4 linked regions of the Notamacropus eugenii genome follow. The protein of the gene in region 3 interacts with the protein of the main gene of each other region in a pairwise test. Links are inferred from orthologs where the notes say so. Each region holds a gene or a part of one and is shown on either strand. Other genes may lie near its edges. The genes, in order: MED18, PRPF3, TRIM39 and UBE2D4.

Evidence for each region.
Region 1: the proteins of TRIM39 (region 3) and MED18 interact in binary tests that used the Homo sapiens proteins (3 or more experiments, as listed by UniProt). The two-hybrid records come from large-scale screens. The link is inferred for Notamacropus eugenii from reciprocal best matches to the Homo sapiens genes TRIM39 and MED18.
Region 2: the proteins of TRIM39 (region 3) and PRPF3 interact in binary tests that used the Homo sapiens proteins (3 or more experiments, as listed by UniProt). The two-hybrid records come from large-scale screens. The link is inferred for Notamacropus eugenii from reciprocal best matches to the Homo sapiens genes TRIM39 and PRPF3.
Region 4: the proteins of TRIM39 (region 3) and UBE2D4 interact in binary tests that used the Homo sapiens proteins (3 or more experiments, as listed by UniProt). The link is inferred for Notamacropus eugenii from reciprocal best matches to the Homo sapiens genes TRIM39 and UBE2D4.

Annotation. Positions count from the first base shown.
Region 1 is NC_092876.1:69,439,609-69,446,495, forward strand, and holds the start of MED18 (mediator of RNA polymerase II transcription subunit 18), read left to right. Parts: upstream 1-3,867; 5' UTR 3,868-3,977; exon of another isoform or gene 3,978-4,117; intron 4,118-5,656; 5' UTR 5,657-5,669; coding exon 5,670-5,742; intron 5,743-6,168; coding exon 6,169-6,722; 3' UTR 6,723-6,887. UniProt on the Homo sapiens protein: Component of the Mediator complex, a coactivator involved in the regulated transcription of nearly all RNA polymerase II-dependent genes.
Region 2 is NC_092873.1:304,220,152-304,227,796, reverse strand, and holds the start of PRPF3 (U4/U6 small nuclear ribonucleoprotein Prp3), read right to left. Parts: upstream 3,001-7,645; 5' UTR 2,709-3,000; intron 1,582-2,708; 5' UTR 1,495-1,581; intron 582-1,494; 5' UTR 529-581; coding exon 384-528; intron 1-383. UniProt on the Homo sapiens protein: Plays a role in pre-mRNA splicing as component of the U4/U6-U5 tri-snRNP complex that is involved in spliceosome assembly, and as component of the precatalytic spliceosome (spliceosome B complex).
Region 3 is NC_092873.1:84,398,498-84,406,427, reverse strand, and holds the start of TRIM39 (E3 ubiquitin-protein ligase TRIM39), read right to left. Parts: upstream 3,014-7,930; 5' UTR 2,702-3,013; intron 2,495-2,701; exon of another isoform or gene 2,097-2,494; intron 1,997-2,096; 5' UTR 1,913-1,996; intron 332-1,912; exon of another isoform or gene 135-331; intron 1-134.
Region 4 is NC_092872.1:716,918,021-716,924,860, forward strand, and holds the start of UBE2D4 (ubiquitin-conjugating enzyme E2 D4), read right to left. Parts: upstream 3,020-6,840; 5' UTR 2,868-3,019; coding exon 2,844-2,867; intron 1-2,843. UniProt on the Homo sapiens protein: Accepts ubiquitin from the E1 complex and catalyzes its covalent attachment to other proteins. In vitro able to promote polyubiquitination using all 7 ubiquitin Lys residues, but may prefer 'Lys-11' and 'Lys-48'-linked polyubiquitination.

The sequences.
Region 1 (6,887 bases), on a different chromosome or scaffold from region 3:
TCTGAGGTTAGGGATTACACGTTTTTTTCTTTGTGCCTCTCTTTAGCACAGCGTCTTGCATATAATGAGCTTTTAATGTGTGCTGAAAGAAAACATCTTTGCATCAATCAATATTTCTTAATAAAAACTGACATTTATATTAGGGTCAGAGAAGTTGAATGACTTGCCCATGGTCTCAGAGCAAGAATCAGGATCTGAATTTATTTTCTGAACTCCAAATCCAACACATACCATTCACATCCTACCATCTACGTGCATTGTACTGTGATAGATACAAGGGATAAAAACATTTTTTTTAAAAGAAAAGAAAAATATAGTCCCTGCTCTCCAAGGGAATATTCTAAGTGCCCAAATAAGTATGGTACAAGATAGAATACAGGTGAAAAAAAGGCAAAAAACAAATCAGAAAAGGTGTTCTAGGAAAACTGAAGGAAGGAGAGCATTTTCATTTGAAGGGATCAGGGGAAACCTCCCTTATCACAGAGGGAGATGGTAGCTGAACTGAGCCTTGAAAGAAAAGAATGATTTCTATAAACGAAGATGGAAGAAGTATACATTTCAGGTGTGGTGTATGGCCCATAGGAGTGCACAGAGGCTGGGAGAAATAAGAGGAGATAAGGAAATATCTAGCAGTCCAGTTTAGCTGGAATATAGGACATATGAAGGAGAAACGTGTGAAATAAGGTGAGAAAGGTAATCACCTTTTTTGTTTGTTTTTTAAATCAAATATCTATTATGTTCAAGGCATTGTGCTTTGTGGAGGGGCTTAAATGATAAGCTAAGGAGTTTGTGTTCTAGTTGATAAAGCAGTGGGAACCACAGAAAATTTTTGAGCAAGGGAGGAACATGGGTAAAACTATTCCGTAGGAAGATTATTTTAGCGATAGGGTGGAAACAGTTGGAGGCTGTCTATAATAGATGCTTCCACTTCCTCTCCTTTCATTTTTTCTAAACTCTTTGAAATCTGGCTTCCAGCCTCATCTTTCCACTAAAACTGCTCTCCCCAAAGTTATCTTAAGTTCTCTTAATTGCCCAGTCTAATGGCTTCTTCAATCCTCTTCCTTTCTCTTGTTTCTGCAGCTTTTGACGCTATGGATCACCAGCTCCTCTTGAACTCTCTTCTCTCTAAGTTTTTATGACCTGGTTCTCTTCCTATCTAACTGCTCCTACTTTCCTGCATCTTCCTTTGGGCAACACCCACTAATTGTGGGTATCCGACAATCGTAGGTTCTCTTTTCATCTCCCTCTCTACTATCTTACTTGGTGATCCCATCAGCTCCCAAGGGTTCAATGATCAACTCAGTGCTCATTATTTTCAAATCTACTTATTTAGCTGTAATCTCCCTCCTGACCTCCAATCTTATATCACCAACCACCTCTATTTTTTTTTTTAAACTGAATAACTATTTCATCCAGGCTGAAACTCACACCATCTCTTCCTGATTTTACTGTTTGTTAGTTAACAGAAATTTCGACCTGCACTGTTTCTGACTTGTGTTGGTTCATCCCTCCTTAGACAGCCAGGGGGTCCTTCACTCCTGAGGGCCCTTCATGACTAGGGGATACTGGATAAGCTTGAGTTTTACTACAACTCAGAACTCTGGAGCTCAAGTGATTCACCAGCCTCAGTCTCCCCAATAGGAGAGATTACAGAGGTGTACCACCACTACTGCCTCTTAGTCATGTCAAACAGTGTCCTATAGTTCTCTCAAACAGCATTTCCAGTGTTTCTCCCTCAAACACACCCCTTCTTTTGGACTTCCCTATTATTGTCAAGGGTACCACCATTCTCCCACTCACCCAGATTTCCAATCTCTGTGTCATCTTGTATCCCTTACTTGTACTTGCCTCATGTATCCAGTCTATTTCTAAGTCATGTCATTTCTACCTTTACTTTTATCTCACATAAAAACTCTCTTTTTGTAATCACTCTAGTGGAAAATCTGCAGTCTCCAGGCCACATGTGATCCTCTAGGTCCTCACGTTCAGCCCTTTGACTGAATCCAAACTTCACAGAACAAATCCTTTTATTAAAGGCAGGTTCCCCACTCTATCCCAGTGCATACCCATCTCACTTCTCACCTGGACTATTAGAACAGCCTTCTGATTGGTATCTCCCCTTCCATTCCATCCTCTACTCAGCTCCCAAAGTGATCAAAGTGATATCACCCCCACTCAGTAAAATCCAGAGGCTCCCTATTGCCTCCAGAATCAAATATAAAATTCTCCATTTGGCTTTTAAAGCCTTCCACCAGCTGGCCCTAACCTGCCTTCCAACTCAATCCTCCTCCCCCTACATTCTCTATTATCTAGCAGTATTGACCTCCTTTCACATAATATGCCATCTCCTGACTCTGGGTTTTGTTTTGTTTTTTACTGACTATTTGGAATGCTCTCCCTCCTTATCATTACTTCCTGTCTGCCCTGCCTTTTCATAAACTCAGCTCAAATCTCACCTTCTACAAGAGGCTTTTCCCAGTTTTCTCCTTTCTTAGTGCCTTCTCTTTGAGATTACCTCCCATTTCCCATGTATATTTTATATGTACATGCTTGCTTGTACATTAGAATATGAGTTCCTTAAAGGCTTTAGTCCAGTGCCTGGCACATAGTAAGTACTTAATAAATGCTTGTTGACTGACTAAAGACCAGGAGACAATTTAGGAAGCTATTAGGATGGTCCAAGGAGGGTTTAAATTGGGGAGGGTGGCAAAATGTCAGACTTCTTTTCTAGGAGTATTCCCAAGTAGATCATGGACAACACAAGAGGACCTCTAAGTACAAAGATATACAGGGATGTTGTATTTATAATAACAATAACCTGAAAGCAAAACATGTGCCCATTACACAATGGCTAAACTCTAACGTATGACCGTAATGGGATGTTGCTCTGCTGTAGAGAAGGACAAGTACAAAGAATTAAGAGATATTTGGAAAGACTGATGCAATGATTCAGAGTGAACAAAATAAAGCCATACTAGCTACCCGTTTTGGTCCCATCAATTCCTCCAAAAAGAGGAAAGTGACATGTATAGAATTAGCCAAGTGAACTGTGAGGTAACTTTGTTTCAGGGAGATAGACTTGGTGGAGTTCAGCAGCAGTAGATGTGAACTCACTAGGGCAGAGGACAGCTTTCTGGTTGGTCTGGTTTCCCCTAAGAGATCTGAGGCTTACCCCCTGGAATTCAGCTGACAAGGATAAAAGGATCTCCAATTTCTTCAGCTTGGGAGCTCCCCCTACCAGATGGCTGAGTCTTTGTACAAGGTAACCTGCTTAGACGTTAAAGTTGGCAGAAGTTCATCAAGACTTGTTTGAGTCAGTGACTAAGTATCCTTTTCCCCCTATTTCATAGTTATTATTTTTCCAATTACATGCAAAGATAGCTCTCAACCTTCACTTTTATAAGATTTTGCGTCCCCATTTTTTTCTCTCTCTCCCTCATGTGCCTGCTCTCCAAGACAATCTGATATAGGCCATTCATGTACCATCTTATTAAACACATTTGCACATTGTTACTAAGTATCCAAGGCAGGATTTGTGAACCCAGGTCTCGTTGATTTCAAGTCCAGCTGAGCACTTGGACTGCTGGCCCAGCCTGCATACAGGAAGCATTTAATAAAGAGGACTTTGTAGAGGAAAAAGTCTTGGTTTTAAAGAGAAACTGAAGGTCCAGTCTCTTTCCCTGTCTGAACGTTAGTTTTTTCCTTCCTTCAAATAAGATGATCAGTAAGGTAGGCTGTTTCAAGCTATAGATCTTGCGACCCCAGGAAGCTACGAATTGAATGGCGCCTTCCACAGGGCACTCTCTTTGGAGGCCGCCATCTTCCGTACGCAAGGACCACACATTACGCATGCTCTCCTTTTCCGGCGACTCCAAAACCGATTTGTGCGCATGCTCGCTCGCAGTCACCCGGACGTTCAGCCGGCTGCGCTTTGATTAGAAGAATTGAGAGCGAGGACCACGGGCTTTCGGGCCTCGGTGCGTCCGGGTTTCCGGGAGGGGGACGAGGAGGGAGAGGGAGCTCGGCCCCGGGGCTGTGGGCAGCGGAGTGGAGCCGAAGCTAGCCCCGGGCTGGCCTGGCCTTGGAACAACAGCCTCTGCAGCCCTGAGGGTCCGGGGTACGCTGAGCCTCTCGTTGTTGCGGCGCATGCGTAGTTTGGCCTCACAATTTTTTTAATTGAGCCCGCCCCTTCTGTGTGCGCGGGAGGGGGTCGGCGGTAGATGGGGGGGGGGGGGCGCCCCAAAGAGCATCCCCCTCCAGGCCGAGGTTTCTTCCAATGTAAAATAAGATTTAGAAACCGGTCTCTGAGGCCCCTTCCAACCCCAGTCTATTTCACTCGTTTCTTACTAAGTCCGGCTCTTCCTGACCCCGTTTGGACTTTTCTGGGCTCAGATCCTGGAGCGCTTTGTCCTTTTACAGATGAGGAAACTGAGGCAGACCCAGCCTGAGGCCCGACTCGAACTCAGGAAGATGAGTCTTCTGATTCCTAGGCTCTGGGTGGGGTGGTTGTGGTTTTTTTCTCTTTCGGGGCTCACGGTCTTATTTCCCTTTCCTTCCCCGTCCCCCTTTTCCAAATAAAGTAACTGAGGCTCCCCAAGGTTTAAGGGATTTGCCTTAGGTCGGTTAGGGGTCCGAAGCCATCATCGTTCCCAGATCTAGCACGATTTATGTTAAAACGGCGGGTCTTTGAGTAATGAGCGAGTGGTCCCAGGCTAGCTATCATGACCTGGGCTGTGCAGGAGGTGAGAAATAACCCAGGCTTTATGAGAGAGGAAGTGACATGTAGGTAGGTACTATCATACAAGGTGAAGTGTCATGAGGGCAGAAGAAAGATCCAGACCTAGCCCACCAAGGAGAAACATCCAGTTGGGGACTTCTGGAAAACTATAAGAAAAGAAATGAGGAAAGACTGAGCATTGGACCTCACTTAACTAACTGGATGATGCTGGGCAAGTCACTGAACTTCCCTGCCTCAGTTTCCTCAGCTGTAAAATGGAAATAATTACAACACTCATCTCCCAGAGTTGTTGTGAAGATCCAATGTGTTATTTGTAAAACGTAAATGCTTTATGTTATCACTATTTTATTAATGCAGTAGCCAGTGGTAATAATTAGTGGCATTTAACTTTTCAATGTTTTCAGAGCACTTCACATGTGATAACCCTCTAAGATAGTTAAGGAGTGTCATCCCCTTTTCATAGACAAGGGAAATGAGATTCAAAGAGGTTGGGTCATATATCCATGGTCCTAGTAGCCAGTAAGTGTCAGAGCTACTGTTTAAAACAAAGGTTTTCCGATTCCCACTGGAGTGTGCTCTGTTGTGCCAAAAAAATACAAGTATTAAAATATAAATAAATGTGGGAGAGCTTCCATAAAGTGATACCCCAGTAAGAAAGCAGAATCAAAACAATAAAAAGTGGGGGAAAAAGGGGACATAAACAGGATATTTTAGTTACCTTGTTAAAGATGGCAGATGCTTCTTTTCTCGAAGTGAAGTCTATGATTTTATGTGTAGTTTAATTTTATTTCAGTGTTTTTACTTTAAAATACAAAAATATAATCAGCTTATTGGGCAAAGTGATCTGTAAGGTCCTATCACTTCTATAATCCAAGGATCCCTTCTGAATCAGATTTTCTTTTGTTTCTTATCACTCAGGGAAGCTGACAATATGGAGGCACCTCCAGTCACCATGATGCCAGTAACAGGTGGCACTATAAATATGATGGAGTATTTACTTCAAGGTAAGTTAGCCTAGGAATTTGTTATATCACCCATTTTGTCCTCTTTGAATCAGTTATGATAAACATTTTTGCCAGGAAATAAGGCAGCTATGGTATGTATGGTTCTGGAGCGGGTAATAGGAAGCTTGGATTCTGGGTCAAGCTTTGCCACTAAGTGGTTGTGACCTCCAGATAAGGAAATTCATACTCAGGTTGAGTAGCCCTTGGGGCTCATTGTAAAAACAGAGGATTAGAGTAAGGTGATCTCTAAGATCAAGTTGTATTTTGGTTTTGTAGATGGTTATCTGAAATGTAGAAAGCTAGAATGATGTTCAGGGTTTAATGGAGCTTCCTAGGAATTCATGTCCTCTGTCATGCTCCTTCTGTTTTTTATTTTCCTAATGAAAGTGAAGAATGAGGTTCCCGTGATGTTTTCCTTCCCTTTAGGAAGTGTTTTGGATCACAGTCTAGAGAGCCTCATTCACCGACTTCGGGGACTGTGTGACAACATGGAACCTGAGACTTTTCTTGACCATGAAATGGTGTTCCTCTTAAAGGGGCAACAAGCTAGCCCTTTTGTTTTAAGAGCCCGGAGGTCGATGGACAAGACTGGGGCACCCTGGCATCTGCGCTACCTGGGACAACCTGAAATGGGGGACAAGAACCGCCATGCCCTAGTACGTAACTGTGTAGACATTGCCACGTCAGAGAACCTGACTGATTTCTTGATGGAGATGGGCTTTCGAATGGACCATGAGTTCGTTGCCAAGGGCCACTTGTTTCGAAAAGGTATCATGAAAATCATGGTATACAAGATTTTCCGAATCCTGATGCCAGGAAACACAGATAGCACAGAGGCCCTGTCCCTCTCTTATCTTGTGGAGTTAAGTGTTGTGGCACCAGCAGGACAGGACATGGTCTCTGATGACATGAGAAATTTTGCTGAACAACTAAAGCCTTTGGTTCACTTGGAGAAGATAGATCCCAAAAGGCTAATGTGACAGAAAGGGACTGCCTAACATTGGGATCTGTTCTTTTGCGTAATAGAAATCAAGACTCCAAATAAATACACTTGAGCAACAAAAATTGAACTTTTTAACCTTGAGTATAAGGGTTCCAGGAACTTACCTGAGCTCTGGACCTCACATCTCTTTTTCTAGAGATTT
Region 2 (7,645 bases), about 220 Mb from region 3:
GAGAGAAATCAAAGCATTGTAGTTAACATAGGTGTTTTCTGGAATGGGGATTTCTTTCAGAATTCTTTACAAAAAGTTGAATTTACATAATGCAAATTTACATAAAGCAAGTATTGTCTATAAACATGTTTTGTACATAAAATATATCGTAAGCATACATGACTGAGGCAACTTTGACATATGCAGAAAATCAGCAAGGGATTCAAAAGACACTCAGCAGATAATCCAAAAGCAAACTGACTATTCTCACTACCCAGCACAAGAAAAATAGAGCCTTCTCCCTTCAAAGTTCCAACATCATTTTAACCCTACGAATGCTTCAAATATTTCAGTTCTGAGAGTCAGGCTGAGAGACATATTCAGGAACCAAAAAAAATACATACCAGCTGCTTTCTTCTTATCCATGCCCTTTCCTACACAATTTAACGCTGCTGTGACCACTGTGGGTTCTGAGAAACCCAACACCCTCTTCACTGTCTTCTCGATCCATGGCTTCAGCTCATCCAGCTCCCTCTTGGACAGGGCCATTCTTTAGAAAGGACAACAGACAGTGAGACAACCTTGAATACTCAACACAGCACCTATGAGGGAAAAAGGAGAAAGTGATTGGGAAGGGTAGGAGACTGAAAATAATACAGGTTGACATTTATTTTATCAGAAATGACTTCTCCCCCGGCTACCTCCTGCACCCCTGGGCAAGTTAATTTACTACAATTACAGATAAATTCATCCCCCTGGTAACAATCTTTGTAAAAAATAAATCCAAAAGAGAGCATCTCTTATGCTAACCCAGGGGGAATTGAGCTGAGAACTGTATTCTGGTGCTTCCTTCCTTATACTATTAGATCTACAGAGCCTGACAGATTATACAATATGGAAATATAGCAGAAGTCTTTCAGAAGTCATCAGGCTCATGCATGGCCTCCCCTAACCTCATTCTGACTGACAGAATCCTTTTCTGTGGGATCCTAATACAGGTCAGTGGGTCATGAAGTATTTATGGTAGAGTTAAACACCAATTTTATATTAAGGTTCACAACTTCTAAGCACATTCCTTTACAGATTTTTCTCTTCATGACACCATACCCTAATTTCACATAAAAACTGTATGACTGACCAACCCTCTCATAATGTAAGTTTACATGACAGACCATTCTGACAGGGTGCTTGACAAGGATCACAGAAATGAAGATGCACACCCTCCTCCTCTCCTGACTGACAATTCTTTACTTCTAATCTAATTCTTGAGTTCAGCAAAGAAAAAAGAAACCACTGAAGAGTCTTCTGAACAATAGACCTTCTCACTGAACATTCTATTAAGCAGGACTGTCATTTATATTCACACCTTTACTTGTCTAGCTAAATCAGAAGCTATTCAATGACATAAGCTATTTTCTTAAGTATTCTTCTTATATCATCTGGTATAGTGCTCAGGACACAGGAGAAAATAATTACTCATTGATTTAACCTTTTCAAATCTAAGTAAGCACATACACCAGAGTTTCTGTCCAATTTGTGATTCCAGTTTTCTTCATTTAAAAGTAAATGATCTTCTTTAGGATATCCTAAGACATCTTTTCCCTATGAGAAATATAATGATTAATGTCTTCATTTCAGAACAACATTTCAGTACAGATCTGTACAAGTTCACACTCGGAATTACCACCAAACTATGATTTTGAATTTGGAATAAAGTGGGATAGAGGGGCCTGGAAAAGAACAGATGAAACTAAAGGAAAAAGACCACATACAGGATGTTCTGAAGTATCTGAGTATCCAGCATATGTCTTGCTGAAAGAAAACTCATTAAGAGGTCTATTCACCTATCAGTTAGATGACAAAAGAGCCCAAGAGGGTCTCAATCATTTTAAGGAATCACTGAAAAAGACTATGTTTTCCTAAACTCCTACTCAACCATACATATTCCTGAACTGCGAATACAGAGAATGTTATCATGCATGGTATTAAGAGGGATCCTGGTGTTGTCAAGAGTAGGGAATGAGCAACTTAATTCCTCGGGCTTTCAGTATCCCACTTGTAAAACAGGGACTAAGACAAAAGGGTTTGCCTATGCTCAAAGGATTGTTGTAATGATCAAGTTAAATAGAGAGCTTCTTTTGTAAATACTTAAAAAACGACAAAAGTAAAAACCTTGGTCATCATCACATCCGTAGCGTTTAAAGGACTGGAATATAGCTAGGGCTCTGAACGCTTGTAAACGAAACCCTCACCACCACATGCTAGTTCATTTGATATGAAAACAAAACAAAGGGTGTGGGTGGTACACAAATCAGCTTTGGGGATCACAACTTGACATGTCACTGAGCAGATGACAACATACTAAAGTGGAGCCTCCACTAGGAAGGCCAAATGAGCCCCAGTGAAGACTCAGGGTGGAAGTTTCCACTCGGGATGCTTCCCCAGTCCCGCTCTTTTTTCCCCTTTGACCTAAGCCCCCCACCCCCCGGTTGTCCCGGGGCAGCTCACCTCGGTCCGAGCCTCTTTTGCCCTTCCCGCCCCCGCCCTTTACCTCCCTACAATCCCCGCCACCCCACTCCCCCTCAGAAACCTCTCCTTGGCCACTCTCCCTTGGGCCCATTCGCCTAAGGGATCGCCACCTCCAACTGGGCTCTGACTGCGGCCAGGGCTAGGAGGCTGAGCCCCCAGGCCCCACAGCCAGCCCCACTGGGCCCGAGCCCGCTACTCACCTCACAAACTTCAGCCCCTGAGACGGAGCCCGAACGTTACACCGGAACCGGAAGTCGGCCGACCTTACGGCTTGCCGTCGTTACCGCTGCCTCCGCCACGCGGCTTCCCGCCCGGCGCCCCTGGCACGTGACGGTGGCGAGCCCAAAGGGTGCAGAGAAATGCGAAGAGGTTCGCTCGCCCGCCCACCCGTCTCGGCGCATGCGCACGGTTCTTTCGAAGCCTAGGAGGACTTGAGATGACCAGGACTATCCGCCCACCATTATCCCGTGCGGAAAACCGGAAGTTCATTCTTCCGGAAACGGAAGTAGAGCCGACAGACGTTTCCCCAGTGCAGGAAGCGAGCGCTTTATGCGAAAGTTGGGGATGAAGTCGAAGGCTGGGATGTCTTCCCCGAGCCTTGGCCTTCGCGTGCAAAGTCAGGTTTAGTAAGCGCGGACCCGGTGTGGAGCACCGTGCTAGGATCTGGTAAAGTGTGAATAATCAAGCGGGCTTCCAGTCTTGGTGCCCTTTACTGACACGGCGCGTGGGTTCACTCGGCGGGTGCCCGAGAGGCTTTACGGAGAGCGTCCAGCTATCCCTCCTCGTCTTTAAAGTGGGGATAATGGGGCAAAGACGCTATTTAAGAACACTTCCTAGCACCGCCCCTTCCACAAGCTCGTACAACACTCCGAAACCCTTAGTGAGACAACTTGCCAACCACCATATACAAACGTTCCGTATACAGGCTAAATCAATAGAGGGAAGGCACTGGCATTGAGGAGGTTTGGGAAAGGCTTCTTGAAGAAGGTGGGAGTTTAGTTGGGACTCCAAGGAAGCTTGGCAGAGGTGAGAACATTCTGGGCGAGGGGGAGAGTCAGTGTAAATGCCTAGAGTGGAAGATGGATTACCTTGCTGGAGGAACGGCAAGGAAGCCAGAGGCACCGGATTGCAGAGTACCAGGTTGAAAGGCTGTGGTGTTAAGATGTTAAGAAGACTGGAAAGATAGGAAGGGACCAAGATGTAGAGGACTTTGGATAAAACAAATAGAGGATTTTAAATTTGATCTTGGAGGCAGTCTGGAACCGTGGTCAGATCTGTACATTAGGAAAACCAATTTGACAGCTGAGTGGATGATGGACTGAAAGGGGAAGGGGCAGAGACTTAAGGCAGGCAGACCCACCAGCAGACTATTGCAGTAGTCCAGGTGTGAGTTGATTAAGGCTTGCACCAGCATGATGGCAGTGTCAGAGAGAAGGAGTTGTATCAAGAAATGTAAGAAACAAGACTTAGCAATTGACAGGCTATGGGGAGTGAGAGTTTGGAGTTGAGGATGACGCCTAGGTTGTGAGCCTTGATGACTGGGAAGATGGTGGCATCCTAGAAGTAATAGGGAAGTTAGGAGGAGGAGAAGATTGAGGAAAAGATAAATTCTGTTTTGGACATGTTGAGCTTAAGATGTCACTGAGACATCCAGTTTGAGATGTCCAATAGGTAGCTGAGGATGAAAGAACAGAAGTTAGGAGAGGTTAGGGATAGATAAATAAATGTGAAAGTCATCTATATAGAAATGATAGTTGAATCCTTGGAAATTGATGAAATCAGGAAGTGCAGTAATTGTCCAGAATAGAGCCTTTGGGTTTCCCCATGATTAATAGGCATGCTCTGAATGAAGATCCATCTCGGAGACTGAGAAAAAGCAATCATACAGGAGAACCAGGAGAGAGAAGTGTCATAAAAACCTAGAGAAAAGAGATTATCAAGGAAAAGAAGGTGATTAACTATCAAAGACTGCAGAAAGGATTGAGAAAAGACCATTAGATTTGGCAATTAAAAGATCATTGCTAACTTTGAAAAGTTTCCATTGAATTATGATGTTAGAAGTCAGACTGCTAAGGGCTAAGAAGAGAGTGAGAGGAAAGGAAGTGGAGCCAGTGATCACAGATAGCCTTCTCAGAGAGTTTAGTCATACAAAAAAAAAAAAAAAAAGACATAGAATGATAGCAGGGAAGGGGGTGGGAGATCAAGTGAGGGTTTTTTAAGGATGGAGGAGACATGAACATATTTGTAGGCAGTAGCCAGGAGACAGACTGAAGAAAAGAGAGAGTTGGAATGATAGAGGGGGAGAAGACAGAATGGAATAAAGTTATTAAAAAACAAACTATATAAATGTTAGTTATTATGAAGTTAGTTCAAGGAAGATCATTACCATATGAAAAATCAGATTTATGGCAGAAAGGAACCTCAGAGGTCAACCCCCTTATTTTTCAGGTGAGTAAACTGAAGTTGAGAGTTAAAGTAATTTGCCTAGTAGAAAGAAAAGAAAGAGAAGAGAAGGGATATGAATTAAACTTCAAAAGTTGGAGGGGAGAAATTCCCCTTAGCAAAGTCATTTTTTAAGTACCTGAAATATCCCTCCTCGTTTTCAAAGTTTTTATTTCTCATTTGTCTGTTAATAATAGTAATTGTTTTTTGGCCCTTTTTAGATCTTAGCCCCTTATTGATGTGTTAGAATTCTGTAACAGTGAACTTGTGGCCAGGTTAGAAAAATCACTGCACCATTTGAAATATAACTAACACTGCCCCTCATCTGTGTTCTAGAACCTTAGACAAATCAGCCTTATGCTGGACCATAGAGTTGGGTACCTGTAATTCTTGCTCCTGAGGAGGCAGAGCCTGGTAGATCTCTTAAGCTGGGATGTTCTAAACCAATCAAGTGCATGAACTAAATCCAGCATCAATATGATAAGCCCCCAGGAGCAAAAGCCACCAAACTGCCTAAGAAAGTTCAACTGGCCTAGGTCAGAAATGGAGCAGGTCAAAGCTTCTGTGAAGATGAGAAGTGGGATGGAGCCCAGGAGTGGCCACTGTGCTTCCAGTGTGAGTGAGAAAGAGAGACTCGTTTTCAAAAAAGGAAAAAAAAATTTTTGAATTGGAGAATATAATTTTTAATACAAGTGGCAGTCCTTGACCATGGCGGTGTCTGGGACAATATCCTGTATATAAGGACTCAATATTATTGTTTTTATTTTTCTAAAGATATAATACAGATGTCTAAGATGTTAATTAACACATTTATTAAATATTGCCACAGTTTTAAAATGCACAAGAGTCCTAACCATTAGAAAATGAAGCAGTAATTTCTACCAGTGTTTTTCAAATGGGAAAAAAGTCTTTTTCAGTAAATCCCTTATGGCACAGGCAGCTTTCCTTCAGCATCATTTCTCCATTTCCACCTCTTTGCTTTTGTATGTCCTGGATCAGCTTCCATCTTCCTCACAATAAACCTACGTCAGTTAAATTCCACAGATAGTTATTATTTACGTATTCTGAATGATGCTGGGAATGCGCAAACAAAAGTGCCTGCCCTCAGTGGACCTACATTACATCAAGATACATGTAAAAAGATAAGTAAATCTCACGTGATTTAAGGAGAGATAAAGTACTAACAACAGTCTTGAGAAAATTTTGCAATTAAGAGACACTGAGACACAAGATTCCAAGCATGATCGATTTATTAGCAATGTAAACAGTTGCCAATAAAGTAGGGCAATGGCTCATTAGTAATCAGAAACAGTTCTGACAATCAGAGCAGCTTTTTATACAATTGAAAAGATAGGTTATAAAGAGTACCAAAAATAGTCCAGTGATGCAAAGTAAACTAGGACTGTTGGTTGGTTTAGAAGAAAGGCAAAGGGTATGCTATACATTTTGCTTAATCATACTGACTTGCAAGAGGGAGTTTTCAGAATCTATAGCAACAGGAAAAATACAGAGTTGAACAACATCCTCTGAAAAGTCTCATGCCATATACCACTCAATACCTAAGAGATCCAGTGTTCGGCAAAACATTTGACCAGGTTGAATCATCTTCCATCCATCCTCCTTATCTCATTTGACCAGGTTGAATCATCTTCCATCCATCCTCCTTATCTCCCTCATGAGACAGGTCCAGTTTGTAGCCTTTAGAATTAGGGAACCCAAACTTACAAACTCTACTACTGAGGCCTGTACAAGTAAATCTGAGTCTGACTTATAGATATTAATTCCAGTGGTTTAACTAAAACTCTTAAATATTCATCAGTGATCTAAATCTCTTACAACTTAGACAAATCTTCACAGAGGATGGTTGAGTGAACAGATCATGGACATGAAAAATTAAAAGTTGAAAGGAACCATCTAGAGGTTATCACTCCAACCCACTCACTTCAATTAAGGAAACTGGGACCCGGGAGAATTGAGATGACTTGCCCCAGGTTATAAAGTGTCAGACAGACTTGAAAGTCTGAAGCCTGGTGCCTTTTCTACTTCAGAACCCAGTGATACCTGAGTGAAATAAATATTCAGAAGTGGAGGGAAGAGAATTGAAGTCCAGACACAGGATACATTGGGTAGAAAGGCAGGAGACAGAATGCTAAGTGAGGCAATTGTTGTATTTCATTTCGGCTAGAATTTGAGTATGAAAGGAAGTAGTGTGAGATTAGGCTGGAAAGATAAATTGGAGTCAAACTGGGGAGGACTTGAAATGTCAGGTTGGGTCACTTCCATTTTATCCAGGACAAAATAGTATGCAATAGAGGGAGCTGGTGAGAGAAATGATTATTAATAACCAGTATCTTAGGGAGATTTAGAGCTCTCCTTTTCTTCCAAATTCCTGATTTTAAAAAGTTAAATCTCTTAAAGGACATTACTAATAATGAGACTGAATTAACTCTCCCTAATATTGGTCAGACCCAACCCAACTCTACAAGGAATTTAATTTCAGATGGGGAAGTCCATTGTGTTCTACTCAAACTTGGGCAGAGACGGATCCTTTTATCTAGATCAGGGCTTCTTAAACTTTTTCCACTCTCCACCCATTCGGCTCTCAAACTGTGGGTTGGGACCCCATAGTTTTAAGAAGTACTGGTCTAGATAGTCCAAGTCTGGTATAAAGATATTTTCTCTGTCCAGTGGTGAC
Region 3 (7,930 bases):
AACTGTATAAACATTTTATTGAAATAACTAAAAAAAGGAGGCATATCTCCCCATCAAAATTCTGTGATATATATAAAATGAACATTTTCCTCTCTACCCTAGAACATACCAAATTGTCAACTTCTACCACTCACCTGTATCTACTATTTTTTCCCATCCTCCAACTTGTCCCAATCATTCTTCTCTCCTAGAGTTGCTCTTCATCTTTCTTCTAGGCCTATTCCTCACCAATTTTTTCATACACCTCCTCATGGATCATTCAATCCCCACTCTTTCACAGGACTTGATTTGGGATGAGGATGGATGCCACCCTGCTTCTTTTCAGGAAGGCCTAATAGATAAAGCCAGCAAAAAGTAACATCATGTTAAAAGGTGTGCACTTTGCCTTCCGTTCGGACTCAAATGATTCACAAAGTGCTCCACTGCTCTTTGGATACATTTTATCTTAACATCCTCCTAACACTGGGGATCTAATCATCTTGGTGCACACATTTAAAGAGTTGCAAATATGTAGCACCCACATTCAACAGTACCAATGGTAATGCCTATTAGGCCCAAGGTATTACCCTTTGAAAACAAGAAAAATTGTCAAACAAAACTCCCAATTAGTTAGCAGTGACTAGAGGACTAGAGATTCTCTAACATGGATCACCCCAGCACATTCCAGAAACACATTCTACTCCATTCCACCAAGTCCATCAAAAAGTATTTATTGTCTACTACGTGCTGCTACATATTGTGCTAAGCAGTGGGGATTTAAAAAAAACTTTAAAGCTCAGTAAGCTTGATCTTTTCAATAACTCATTCTGCCTTTATCCTTCCTTCTCTCCTCCAGTATCCAAATTACGTAACTATCTCAGGTCCATATTCCCTTATACCTAATTCACAGCTTACTGCCAAAAACTATCTACAAAACTCTCTACTAAATACAATCCGATGGCCAAAATATCTTTCTTCCATTAGGTCAACAATAATGTAAACAAAATCTGACAACAAATCTCAAGCAGAATGATTTTAATGATCAATCTTAGCCCTGTAAAAGAAATGAGGAAAGCACCTCCCTTTAAAAAAGTTGGGAGACTATAGGAATGGAATGTTGCATACCTGTTCAGAAGTGTCAATCATTATGTTCATTTGCTTAATTGGTTTTCTTTGTTTCAAGGTAGGGTTTAGGGGGAAAATAACTGACACAAAAATTTGGATCATATACAATAATAAAATGTTTTTAAAAAAATGCATCTTCTCATCTTGCCTGCCTATAAAAAATATAATGCTCAACCTATAACAAATCCTATACTCACTTTTTACTTTCTTCCTGACCTATATGGGGAACATACATCCTATAGTCTATCGCACATCATAGGTCTCTTTTTGTGCCTAATACCAGGAAAACTCTCTATATAGCCCAAAGAAAGCAAGACTTACCAGCAAACAAACGAATGTCTAACATTACACCTTCTCCTGACTCATTTTCTCTAGCTACTATTAGATACTGGTTTTTTTGGGGGGGTGGGGGGAGGAGGGAAAAGGAGGATAAACAGTATATAGTATGTCTATGAAGCCTAGAAATAAATGATATTAAAGAAAAGGACGCTGGATTCTTTACAAATTCTATATCCATTAGTAGAACCAATTTCCTACGTATCTGAGTTCATTAAGGTCCCCAATGGGGTAAACTAGCATTCATTTTTTTCATCCCTAGCACCTAATATGATATACTTGGGCTTAATAAGTATTTATTGATTTGCACTAAATGGAGGATAAATTAGCACAGGCCATTTCTGTGTCATCCTTTCCTCATCAACCAGGAGATGAATTAAGTTTTCATATTATTCTACCTCTAAGGCACCCAGTTCTAAGACCTTCTCTTGCCATGTTCATAAAACATCTAAGAGCTGAGAGGTTTACTTACCTAGGGAAGAGTTGTAGTCTCTGTAGCTTAGGAGCCAAGACTGAACAGGGCATTAGGATGGGAAAAGGGAAGGACCACCCAGCCCTGAAGGAAGAAAGGGAAAGGAGGAAAACGGTCAGATATTTGGAGAGGGAAGGGTCTATGGAGGGGAGCCAAAAACAAAACTCTTCCTACAGATACTGACTCTGTGCGTGGTGAAACAGATTCTCTTCCTCCTCTGAAAGTGTCAGTGGATGACGGGCAAACTTTGTGGGAACCCACATTCTGCTTCTCCCCATCTTTGGGGGACCCTAACTTTACTACTCTTTTCTTCCAAGCATTGACCACAACTCTGTCCCCAGACCACCCTTATTTCCTCTCTCCAGCTCTGCCTAACATGACACTGCCAGGAGGGGTAAGGAAAACAAGGCCTCTGACTGGCAGGAAGGGTGGTGGTGACCCCAAAGAGAGGCATGAGCAGAGTATCTCGGACTGCTGTGATGGAGTGGAGGATGTCTATGACATCATTAAGTTGGGTAAGCATGAGGATGAGGAGGATTAAGAATGAAGTATGGCAGAGGGGAGACACTAAGGCAATGCAGCTAGACCACGCTGGACGCCCTGACATCACCAGGGCAGAGGTGACGTTGGCTCCAGCCCCCCAAGCAGGAGGAGGAAGGCGATTGTTACGTGCTGGGGGTGGCAGTGACGTAGTAACAGGGCGCGGGGACGCTGGAACGCAGAGCTGAAGCTGGCCAGGGAGAAAAGGGTAGCACAAGTCGGAGGGAGGGGGAAGGTATTCCCACTTACCTCCCCCAGGTCCAGATCCGGGGGTCCGGGGTACCGGAGCCGCCGAGGCCACTGCCTCCTCCTCCAGCCCCCGAAAGATACACACAATACACACCGGAAGCGGAATCTACGCTCCACGAGTCCCACCCCGGGCTGAAGCCTCGGTGCCCACAGCCGGCCGGGGGGAGGAGCCCGTGATGCCATCGCCAACAAGCCGTGGATATAAACTAGGCTCAACCCCGATCAGCTGGGGCGAGAAGGGATTAAGGAGAAGGGGGTTTGGGCCGTCGCGCTGCACGCGCCCAATGGACCCGCGAGGCCATCGCGAAAAGGGCGGAAGGAGGGGGGCGTTGGGGACGCACGCCTGCGCACAGGCCACAGGAGCTGCCGAAGTCTCCGAGAGGGGCGGGTGGTGGCCAGGGTGGGCGGGGCTTCGGAGCGCAGGCGCCCCGGAGCTACCTGAGGCCACAGAGAAGCGGGCGCGGGCTAGAGCGGTCGTGGTGACGGGGTGTTAAGCCCAGGTGGCCGCTGGCGCCCTCTTCAGCGGACCCGGGACCGGGGCGAGGTGAGTCTGGGTCTTCGGATGGGAAAGCTGAACGACCACACCCCATGTTCTGGGCCTGGGAAGGGAACCTAGAGAGAAGCTAGGGCAGGACCCCCGGCGGTACGGTGGCTGGCTGTGCCCATTTCTCCTCGAGTCCGTGGAGGGAAAGATTAACCCAAATCAAAACTAAAATGGGAATTACAGTACTAGTTCAGTTCACTGGGGTGTCACAAGAAAAGCGAGGTTTTGCTTAAAAGGGCTTTATAGGAACAGAATAGTAAGAAGGCTCCCTCCCCTCTTCTATTAGGTTACAGCTGGTAGGTAGACGTGTTTCGAAGTTGGGGGAAAGAGGCTGCGTGGCCTCAGTGCACTTGAACTCTCGAGACCCCGGTTCCATTCCCGAACCCGACCTCCCCTTTGCTAACATCTCGTGTGAGATGTTCTTCCACGTCTGTAATCCTGGGAATGGGGAAGTTTGCAGTCTTGGGAACTCCAAGGGGGAGAAGGGCAGCAAGAACTGGTTCTCGAGCAGGATACTTGACCCCATGTGGGAGAATTCACAGGACTACGGTGGCAAAACTGATGTGGCCAGAAAGGTGTTGCTACTAAACTTGTAAAGAGTGATGACGACCACATCCTTAGATACCGATCAGTGCTACTTAGCTTAAGCTGAGAAAATTCCAAAAGTTTCCTTAAGCTTATCTGAAAAATTTTCAGAACTGAACACCAGCTCTCCTTAGTTTTGTACTGCATCTGCAACTCATATCTTGAAAGTCCTATCACATTTTTGGTAGAGGTTTCACCTGAACTACTTTGCCAAGAGCCTTCGAATTGGTCTTCCTACCAATAGTCTTTTCCTTCTTGGGTTCTTCCTTTACAGGATGATCTTCTAGATACACAACCATAGTAACCACGGCCTCTTTCTTCCTAGTCTTATTTTGTACTTCGGACACTATCCACGTTTCAACCAAACTGGACTTTTAGCTGTTCCGCAAGACATCCAGGACCCACACTCTTCCTGGAATTCCACCCTGCTCCCCCATACCTGAGATTATCTTCCAGCACTTCTCTTCCCTTTGAAATCCTCAACCTTCAAGGTCTAGATCACTTGCCTCCCCAGTCAGGGAGGGTATGTGAGTCTTCAAACAAATAAAGAGAGAAAATGCATGTGTGTTGCCTCATTGGCTAATCTGAATGTTTGACTGTTACAAGATTGTGTTCGTCCTTCTTTGTTGAAGAAGACCATGCCATCAGAGAAATGATGACATGACTTGCACTTGACTTTGTTTTGAGTGAGGGAGGGCTGTGCAGGTCACCAGCCTCACTTCTTCTCCAGAGCCATCTGAATCCAGTGACCTGATATTCCTCAGGATGACTGGAGATAACCCAGGATGCAGTGGGAGGCCTTGGGCACTTTAGGCTAAGGTCTTTGCAGACACTCACTTAGGGTGAGGCTATGCTCATTCATTGAATAGGCTTGTTTAAGAGGTAGGCAGGGCATAGCCCCATTAATGAGGTCAAGAAAAAGAAAGACATCAGGCTGGGTGGGAACTAGCAACAGTTACTATTGATAATCACTGTAAAGCTAGGAGAGTCCAGAGGAGCTCTTAGGCAGGGGCCCATTGGAGTCCCAGTTTCAGAGTGCAGTAGGTTTAAAGTTGTCATGACCGGACAAGACAAGCAACAGAATGGAAGGGAAGGAAAGGAGCCAGTAAAACTCAAGTCAACTGGGCATCTTTTGGCCATCCAAATTTACCTTCCTTTGGAGAGAAGAAGGTAGGGGAGGGGCAGGCAGACAGGAGAAGAGCAGTTGAGTTACTCACCTAGCTGGGTCCCCATTCAGCCAGCTGCATCTACTTACAAGGTTGTGTTTGTCCTTCGTTGTCGAAGAAGACCACCATTTCTCTGATGGCATGGTCAGCTGTTACAAGAAAGTAATAGCCGAATGTAGAAAAACAACACCTACTATACTAAATAGTTAGAGGCTGGTGTAGTTGGCACGGTGTATATAGTGCCTTTCCTAGAGTTCAAATTCGTCCTCGGATAACTTAGCTGTGTGAACCTGGGCAAATCACTTAACCTTATTTGCCACAGTTCCTCATCTGTAAAATGAGCTGGAGAAGGAAATGGAAAAACACAAGAGGAGTCCAAATGGGGTGATGAGAGTCAGACAGATTGAACAAGATACTCAAAACTGACTATATGAAAGGTGAATTTTAGTGTAAGGTGGATTTTAGTGTGTGTAAAGTGAATTTTTGCTATTATTTCTCAGAGTTCAGTTTCCCAGGATCCATAGCCATAACAGTCAACAATTCCCAAGTCCTAGATATGAGTTCCCACAGTTATGGTTCAAAACATCTCCACCGCGCCTGCACATAGTTATATAATGATAATATAGACATTCACTGCAGCTGCACTGTGAGATACATTTTGGCTGTTGCTAACAATATGCCTTCTTTGTTGGCCTATAAAATAGGTGGTCACTAGATAGTGAATGGGGAACCCTTAGGGTTGAATGCACAAATGCTGTGTGTGGCTCAACTGACCCCACTGAGGTTTGGTGGGGCAACACTTAGGGTTGAGTGCACTGGAATGCTGTGCTGCCTTGATTGGCCCCCATCAAGGCTTGGGGGGAATCTGTGTTTGCCTCAACTGGCTCCCATTGAGGCTTGAGGGGATTTAGGGGAAACACAAGTTGTGCCTTTCTGAATTGACCCTATTGAGATGTAGGGGTAGTTGCCTCCCCCCCTTCTCACCATCCCCTGTGAGAAGGGTGATTAGGGAATGCTGTAGGAGTTTGTGCTCTGGTTATCAGCAATCCTCTTCTGAGAAAACTAGACTAAAGTAAGATTATTAATCCCTTTTTAGTATTTCCTGTCTGACCAAATCAAGAGTGAACCCGTGCTAGCAGTCCTCAAGTATCCTGTGTTTATCTGTCTTACACTGACATTTTATATAGCATCCTACAGTTTGTAAAGCCTTTTACACAGATTATCTCATTTAAACTTCATAACAACCCCCCTAAGGGACGTGATAAACACTGATTATGGCCAACAAAAATTTCCCTAGCTGGAAATGATTTTTTTCCCCCTCAGATCTTAGAGTGCTTGTCCTGGGTCTCTGCTTTTTTTCTCCTTGTACTTTACCTGTTTGTGCATCCATCTCACCCCCTCCCCCAATACTGTAAATTCCTTTAGGGTAAGTTCTTTGTTTTTCATGGCTGTACATAATATATATATATATATATATATATATATATACACATATGTATATGTGCACACACAGAGTATATGTATATATATATGAAATTAGATATCTGTATATATAATACATACATATTTCTTCTTGCTGTCCTTCAAGGTTTAGCTTAGAGGTATCACAAAGGTGAAACCTTTTAGGATCTCCCCAGTTGTTACACTTTCTTTTCTCAGTTTATCTTGTACATGCTTATTTATATAAATATTGTATCTCCCTAGGAAAATAAGAATTGAGGGCAGAGAGTATTGTTTTTGTCACAGTATCGACAGAGACTAGCATCAGACCTTGCAAGAGAAATGTATTTACTAAATGTTTGTTGTACTGAATGAAAGTTCAGCAGTTCTCAACGATGAGGTAGAAAGGAGTATTAGAGGCAGATAGAGCAAGCAGGATGTTGAGATATGAGACAAGATACAGGATGTGACTACCCAGAAAAGTGATTAAAGAACACTGTGCATTGAAGCCCCACACTGTGGCCTTACCTGTGTGCCTTCACAAAGTACCCGAAATAACCTAACCTGACAGAACAACTTGTCCCCTACTCTTCCCTGTTCCCTTTGCTTATCTGTATAGACTCCAGAGCAGCACCCCTCCTCCCTCTTTCCTGTTCTCCTTGCTTATCTGTGCACCTCCAGACTAAGTGATATTCCAGGCTTTCCAGAGCCATACTTGCCCCTCCTGCCCTCCTCCCCTTAAAAAGCTGTGTTTAAGACCAGACAGCTAACTTGGCCAATTGCTCTGCCTCCTGGGGAAGGCAGGGCTCCTCTCTACCTCCAAAAGGGGAGTAGGGCCTGCTTGGGTGTGTCACCCCAATAAATGCCTTTTTTAAACTTGGAGACTGTCCAAGTGAATTCAGGACATTACAACCCATCTGTCTATATCCTCCATTATTTCTTGGTGGTACCCCAACATTCTTGGGGTGTACCCTGTACTTATCATTTTTGGATGCTTGCTCCATCTGCCTCAAGCTTTCCTTTCTTACCTCATCAACAACCCTTTAAGAAACTGTAGAGGGCTATAGGAAAATTCTATTCTGCTTCCTCTTTTCTTTTTCTCTCTCCTTGCTCCCTTGGCAGTCCCACCTGCACCTCATCTCTGGGCTTATTCTCAAATCTTCACTTGGTCCTTGAGCTCAAGTCCTATCTGGGTGTTTTATTGACATCTCAAACTCAGCATGTGTAAACTATTTTCCTCTTCTTACCTCCTTCACCCCTCCCCTACTTGTCCCTTCTGCTTTTGTTGATGGTAACACAACCATCTAGGCTTAAAACTTCCAAATTATATTTTGACTCTTTGCTCTTCCTTACTTTTAAAATTCCTTAACTGACAAGACCTTTGCCGAGTCACTTAGTCTCTATCAACTTCATGAAATCCTCATTTGCAAAATGTAAATAATAAAACACCTCTGTTACTCATATGATGAGTGTATTGTCAGAATTAAATAATGT
Region 4 (6,840 bases), on a different chromosome or scaffold from region 3:
TATGCACAAGTTACGCTGAGAAAAGTTACTCTGGATAATTATGACATGAACATAATCTGTAACAAAACATCTGCTTTTATGCTACAGAATTGGGACAAATCTACGAATGTTTTTTGTATTTATATTCTCAGGCACAAGCACGCACACATACACACACAGAGGTACATATGTATGTACCTGAACACATATGCCTGGTACAGTAGAAAGTGCATCAAGTTTGAAGTCAGAGGACCTGCATGGAAATCTTGTCTTTGTTATTTCTGTGTGACTTTGTACAAATCACTTCACCTCCCTTGCCTCATCTGTAAGATAAGAGGGTTTGCCTCAATGACCAAAGACCAACAATCCTTATCATCAAAGAACTGACATTCACAAGTGGGACATGGCACAACAAGGATATCAGTAAGTAAATACACAGAATATACAAAGACACAGATATGCATTAAGTGCATGAACGCACACGTACAGAAATATGGATATCTAGGGACGAAGTAGAAGCAGTATGCTGATATAACCCACTGGAATAGATGATCACCATGCAAACAAAGGTAACCCAGAAGAAAGTTGGATTGCACACCCAGTCTGAGATGGAACCAAGACAAATTCATCAAGGTTAGCTTAATAAGCAAGCCTTAGGAAGAAATGAGGGCACAAAATTATTTGAGCTGTATAGGTAAAACAGGTACAGTCAAAAGGTTATCTATCAAAAGCATCCCAAAGAAACTATGAGGAATTGCACAGGAAGTGAATGGGTAAGGAAGTCCAAATGGAATTTGGTAACAAGGAGGAAAACAAAGATATGTTCTAAGAGAAATCAAGAAATCAAGAAAGAAGAGCCCATGAAAAAAGAACTGGAGGGTTGTGGCCCTAGTCAAGCTACTTAACCTCTCTGGTAAAACAAGGAGGTTCTACTAGAAGACTTCTTAGGGTCCCTTCCAAAGCCCTAAGTAATTTTATGATCCTAACTCCAAGATGGAGGCAATCTCTACTCTGCACAGTATGGCAGAGGGCCAAACTAATGGGTACCAAAAAGCCTTAATCCCAAAAGAACTTAACAAGACTGAAGCAGAAGAATTAGAAAGGCAGAGAGGTGTCATAAAGAAAGGACTGGCCTCTGAGTCCTGCCTCTGAAAGTGTGTGTGTGTGCGTATGTGTGTGTGTACATGTGTGTGTAAGAGACAGAGTATGGGTTAGGGCCCTTCACCTTACAGTGGTTTCCGAGATCTGCATTTCCTTACAGGAAGTTTCCTACACACCAATAAAATCACAGTTCTGGACCACAATAAGAAGTGGCAACCATTCTGGAACTGGCCAACATGCAAGTCTGCAGCGATCACAAACAGCCTATGGGAACAAGCAGAATGCATCCTACAAAGAAATGGCCCTGGATTTGAAATCTGCCCACTGCATGACCTGGACAAGTCATTTTTCATTTCTTGGCCCTTGTTTTCTTCATCAGAATTATGAAGGTGAACTATTTAATTCACCAAACATTTATTAAGTGCCCAGTGCAAGCCAGGTATTGGGGGAGGGGGACAACTGGAACCCTGACAAATAAATGCATAATATTAGTATGTCCCAAAAGTCTTAGTGTGGTTTTAAGTTTTAATAGTTTGGAAGAGCCTACATACCAAGTTTTGGCAGGGAGTTGAAGAACAGCGAGCATTAAATGATCTCTAGGATAACCACCCCGTCAGTCAACAAACCTTTATTAAGTACTTCAATAACGTGCCCTGGCACACAAAGCATAAAAGAGAAACTAAAAGTAGCTCATCACAGTCTAAATGGGGAGACAAACAGGCAAACAACTGTGCTTAGGTATACTAGGTGGACACACAAGACAGACACTGTGTAAATGGGAAGTAATCTCAGGCCAGTTCTAAATGCTCCCAATGGTCCTAGAAGACTGATGAACTATTTACCAGGAGCTGTTAGAGCTACAGTCGGGACAGCAGGGAAACTTCAGCCCTTAATGGAGGTAAAAAGGTGAAAGTCAGTTTTGGGCATGTGGAGGAAACAGAATTCAAAGGGCAGAAATTAGTCTAAGTAACTTTTCAGGCACAGTGGGTGGTGGGAAGGCCAGCAGATTTCAGGAAGGAACTGGGCTCAGGTCTATCCATGATGGACCCTGGACTTGAACCAGATAACCTCCAAGGTCCTTCCTTCCCAGCTCAAATCTATGCTCCCAAGATGCAGAGGGGCGATCACTTAACTTCTGAGCCTCAGTTTCCCCACCTGAATTAAGCTCTCAGGTCCTTTCCAGCTCTAAATCTACCCTGTTTCTTCATCTTTAAAATGGGTTGAATCTAATTATCAGGCTGCTAAGGTCCTTTCCAGCTCCGCATCTATAACCATAAAGGAAGGGGGAGAGGTGACAGGCATTAATTAAGCACCTACTGTGTGCCTGGCACTGGGGCGGGGAGCCTGGGGGTGGACGACTGCTAGTTTTCTTGGGCTATTAGGGGGCAGAGGGGGCGGCGCAAGAACAGGAGAAAAAGTGAGAATGGGACACGCCCCTCACGCCAACAGCCGGCCAGCAGAAAGGGAAACACACAAAGGAGCACGTGGTTGGCCGGCGGCGCCTCTAGCTCCGCCCAGGCCCCGCCCCGCCCACCCCGAGACCCCGCGCCCCGGCGTGGCCCCGCCCCCGCCCCGTGCTGTTCCCTTGTAAGGCAGTGGGCGCACGAGGCGCCGCCTCACTCCCTGGCAGGTGCCACAAGTTTTCCCGCGCCTGCGCGCGGCGCCGCCTCCTGCCGTGGCTCTCTGTGTAGCGGTGGAGCCGACGCCTGCGGCTCCTCCGTCTCCGGACTCTCGCCAAGGATGAGGGGAAGCGGGAGGCTTACCTTCTGGATCCGCTTCAACGCCATCCTACGACCCGCTGCAGGACCACGACTCAGCCCCGGGGCCGAGGGACGGCCACGGGAGGCAGCACAGCTAGGCTCGGCCGCCTCGCAGCTCTCTGCAAGGGGAGGAGCTCGGCTGGTGGCGCGTGCGCAGCGCGGGCCGGCCGCGGGGCACTGTGGGAGTTGTAGTTCTTTTTAGTCAGGCTTGGGATTGGGGTACCGAGCAAAAGCCTTTTTACGAAGTGATCTCCCTAGAGGAGGGAGACCCTGGGCTGGTGCTCTTCTGCCCCTCCCTTGATGGCCAGGCCTCTCTCTGCCAAACACTTTTCATACACTTGGGCAGATCACTTCTCAGAGCCTCAGTTTCCTCATCTGTTGAATGAGGAGCCAGACTGGTGGAGATGACCTCTGGGAACCCTTCCAGCTTCAAATCTTAGGGGAGGATGAGTGGCTGGCCAGCGTCCGGGACTGACCGCCGGCTGTTTGCATCCCTTCCTCTCCAAGTAGAGGGAGCTCCCTCAGTCATTCAAAAGGCATTTATTAAGTGCCAGCTTAGCCAGGGGTGCTAAGCTCTGGGGGTACAAAGAAAGTAAATGAAACAGTCCTAGCGCTGAAAGTCTAACAAGGGAAGCAACAGGCAAACAGCCATTTCTGTAAGAATACCTAGGGAGCAAAGGAATTGGAGTCAAGGAGATCAGGGTTTTGTCCTCCCTCAGACATCTGACTAGCTGGGTGACGCTAGATGCGTCACTTAACCTCCGAGTGTTTCCTTTTCCCCACCTATAAAAATGGGGAGATTACAGAATCTATCATCCATTGCTGTTGTGAAGATAAAATGAGACAATATTTGTAAAGCATTGCAAATCTTTAAGTGTTATTTAAATAATAGTTGTTATTATTACATGGAAAATAGTCATCTGAGGGGGAGAGGCACTAGTAGGAGGGGAGATTGGGAAAGGATCGAAGAAGATGGGATTTTGAGTCTTGATAGGAGGGGGACGGGGCATTCCTGTATAGGGGACACTGAAAAAGGCTTTGCTTAGAGTGAACTAGAAGGCTGGTGTCAATTGTACAGTACCCCACCCCAGAGGAGCAAAGTACAAGAAGATGGGAAAGGTAGAAAGGACCCAGTTTGTGAAATTAAATGCTGAACTGAAGAAAAGGAAGATGAAGATGCTGGAGAGAATGAACTGGGATAGAGGGGTAGACTGGAATGGAAAAAGAGGGAAAGGTGGTGAAAGTGGACTGGGAAGGTATATAAAGAGGATAAGGAAGCTGGGGCTGGTCAATGTGGGATCCACAGAGATGTGGGGCTAGAAGAGAGATACTGGATGCAGTCACCTCTTGGGTTTCTGCTGCTTCTCCAGGGCCCAGCAAGGGCTGTGGAATTCAAAGAAGTAGGCTGTCTCCCTGCCCCAAACCATCCTTCCCTTCCTCACTTTTGAGTGAATAGAGTGGGAGACTTGCCAGGAAGACCTACACTAAATCTTGCCTCAGATACTTACCAGCTGGGTGATCTCAGGTAAATCACTTAACCTGCCTGTGCCTCAGTTTCCTCATCTGTCAAATGAGGGGGTTGAAATTACTAGGTGCCAAGTACTATGCTAAACACTGGGGATAGAAATACAAGCAAAAAGGCAGACCCTGCCCTCAAGTACCTTACATTCCAAGGGGGAAAGAGCCCATAAAAGGGAAATGAAAGGGGAGGGTCCCCAAGTTGGGGATTCCCCTTCATGTACCTACATTTCAACTACATGGGTCTACTTGCTGTTTCCACAATTTACCATTCTACATCCCATCTCTGTGGAAGGAGAGCATTCCAGGTATGGGGAATAAGCTGTTCAAAGAAACAGATCAAATACAGATTAAAACTCTGAATTACATCCTATGTTCCTGTCCCTCTCTAAAACCTAGGACAGAGCCCCGTGCTTAACACAGTGCTTTGCACACTATAAAACTCAATAAGTGCTTGCTGTTTGAATAAATGTCTATTGATCAAAGTAGAGGGGAGCTAAGACAGAAATGCTAAAGGATTAGAACTGGGGTAAAGAGAAAGACTAGGGCAGGATTGATAGAAATAGTGCTCAAAGTGTACTGAAGGCCCACTACTTCCCAAGTTAAAAGCAGGGAGCAGAGTCTATCTGTGATCACAGGTGGAATCCCACACTGTTCTTAGTTTCTTATTTGTTCATTAGTCTAGTTCTCTTAGACTTTAAAAGGGAGAGTCATTTGAAAAACGTAATATCCACTTAACAGTACCCACATTTTCAGGTGAGCCATCATATCCTTGCTACCTGATCTTAAAGGATAGTAACCATGAGCCAAGGCTTCTTGCCCAACCTTTAATTTAATAAATATTGTTGTTGTAATCCTGTTTGCCTCAGTTTCCTCATCTGTAAAATGAGCTAGACGAGGAAATGACAAACCACTCCAGGATCTCTACCAAGAAAACCCCAAATGGGATCATGAAGAGTCTGACATGACTGAAAACAACTGAGCAACAGTATCTGAGTTTAATTTGTTTCTACACCAAATTATAAATGTTAAGTAGATACATTAAACCACCTTTGCCCAGTAAAGATGATAAGCCCACTCCCCCATCCCTTCCTCCATTTTTGTGTGCCCTTCTCCTATGCCCCAGTTATGTGAAAGAGTGAATTTCTTCCTCATTTCTTTCTTGTATTTTTTTTCCCCACCCTTTTCTTTTCCTCTCTTAAAACTAACAAAACCGCACCTAGTTTCTATGTTGGTGGTTCTTAATTCCCATGTTGACCATTGAAAGTTAGTAGGACGCGTCTGTTCTCACACAATTAGAATGTAAGGATTTCATCATCATTTTGCTCCCTCTAATTACTTCTCAATTTCCAATCCCATTTCAAAGTTTATACTCAACCATGGTATTTTCAACAAGAATGCTTGAAAGTTTTCTGTTCTGTTCAAGATCCATTTTTCCCTGTTAAGATTATGCAGGAAAAAAAAAATGTTGCAGTTTTGAAGGGCAGGTTATTCATGGTTGTTTGTGTTTGTCCTTCTTGCCAAAAAAGACCATGCCTTCAGAGAAATGATGACATGACTAGCATGTGACTTTGTTTTGAGTGAGGGAGGGCTATGCCAGGTCACCAGCCTCACTTCTCCTCCAGAGCCATCTGAATCCAGTGACCAGATATTCATCAGGATGACTGGAGATGACCCGGGATACACTGGGAGACCTTGGGCCGTTTAGGCCAAAGTCTTTGCAGGTACTCACTTATGGTGAGGCAACACCCATTCATTGAATAGGCCTGTTTAAGAAGTAGCCAGGGCCTGGTCCCTTTAATGAGACCTCGAGAAAGAAAGACATCAGAGGGAGAGGGAAACAGCAACAGTTACTACTGATAATCACTCTAAAGCCTGGAGGGTCCAGAAGAGCCCTTAGGCAAGGGCCCATTGGTGTCTCAGCTTCAGAGTGCAGTAGGTTTAAGGTTTTGAGAAAGAAGGGAAGGGAAGGAAACTAGCCAGTAAAACCCAAACCAACTGGGCATCTTTTGGCTATCCAAATTTACCTTCCTTTGGAGAGAAGGGAGGGGAGGGTGAGGTAGATTACTTTGCAGGTGTCCAGGACACTCTATAGAGTGGTTCCAGGAGTCAGTTGCTTTTCCTCCTTTCTCGAAGAAGACCACTGACATCTGGAGAGTGATTTGCTGTGTGAATTGGATTTAAGTGAGACAGAGCTGCATAAGTCATCAGCCTCACTCTCTACTTCAGAGTATTCAAAATCCAGTGGCAGCACAGAAGTCAAGACAGCTGGCGATAGATGACTTCAGCCTTTCTAAATGAAGATTTTTCCCAGGCCCCGGTATGTTCAAGGCAACATCCAGAGAAGCAATAGCTATATCGTAGGACAAGGAGAATGGACTGGTGATGAATGAACCCTTCCCTCCCTCAGTCCCCATCTATTGTGAGTACAAGACCAAGTACTACTTGGTGTAAAGGCTTTGGGGTTGTCCGTGTCTCAGTG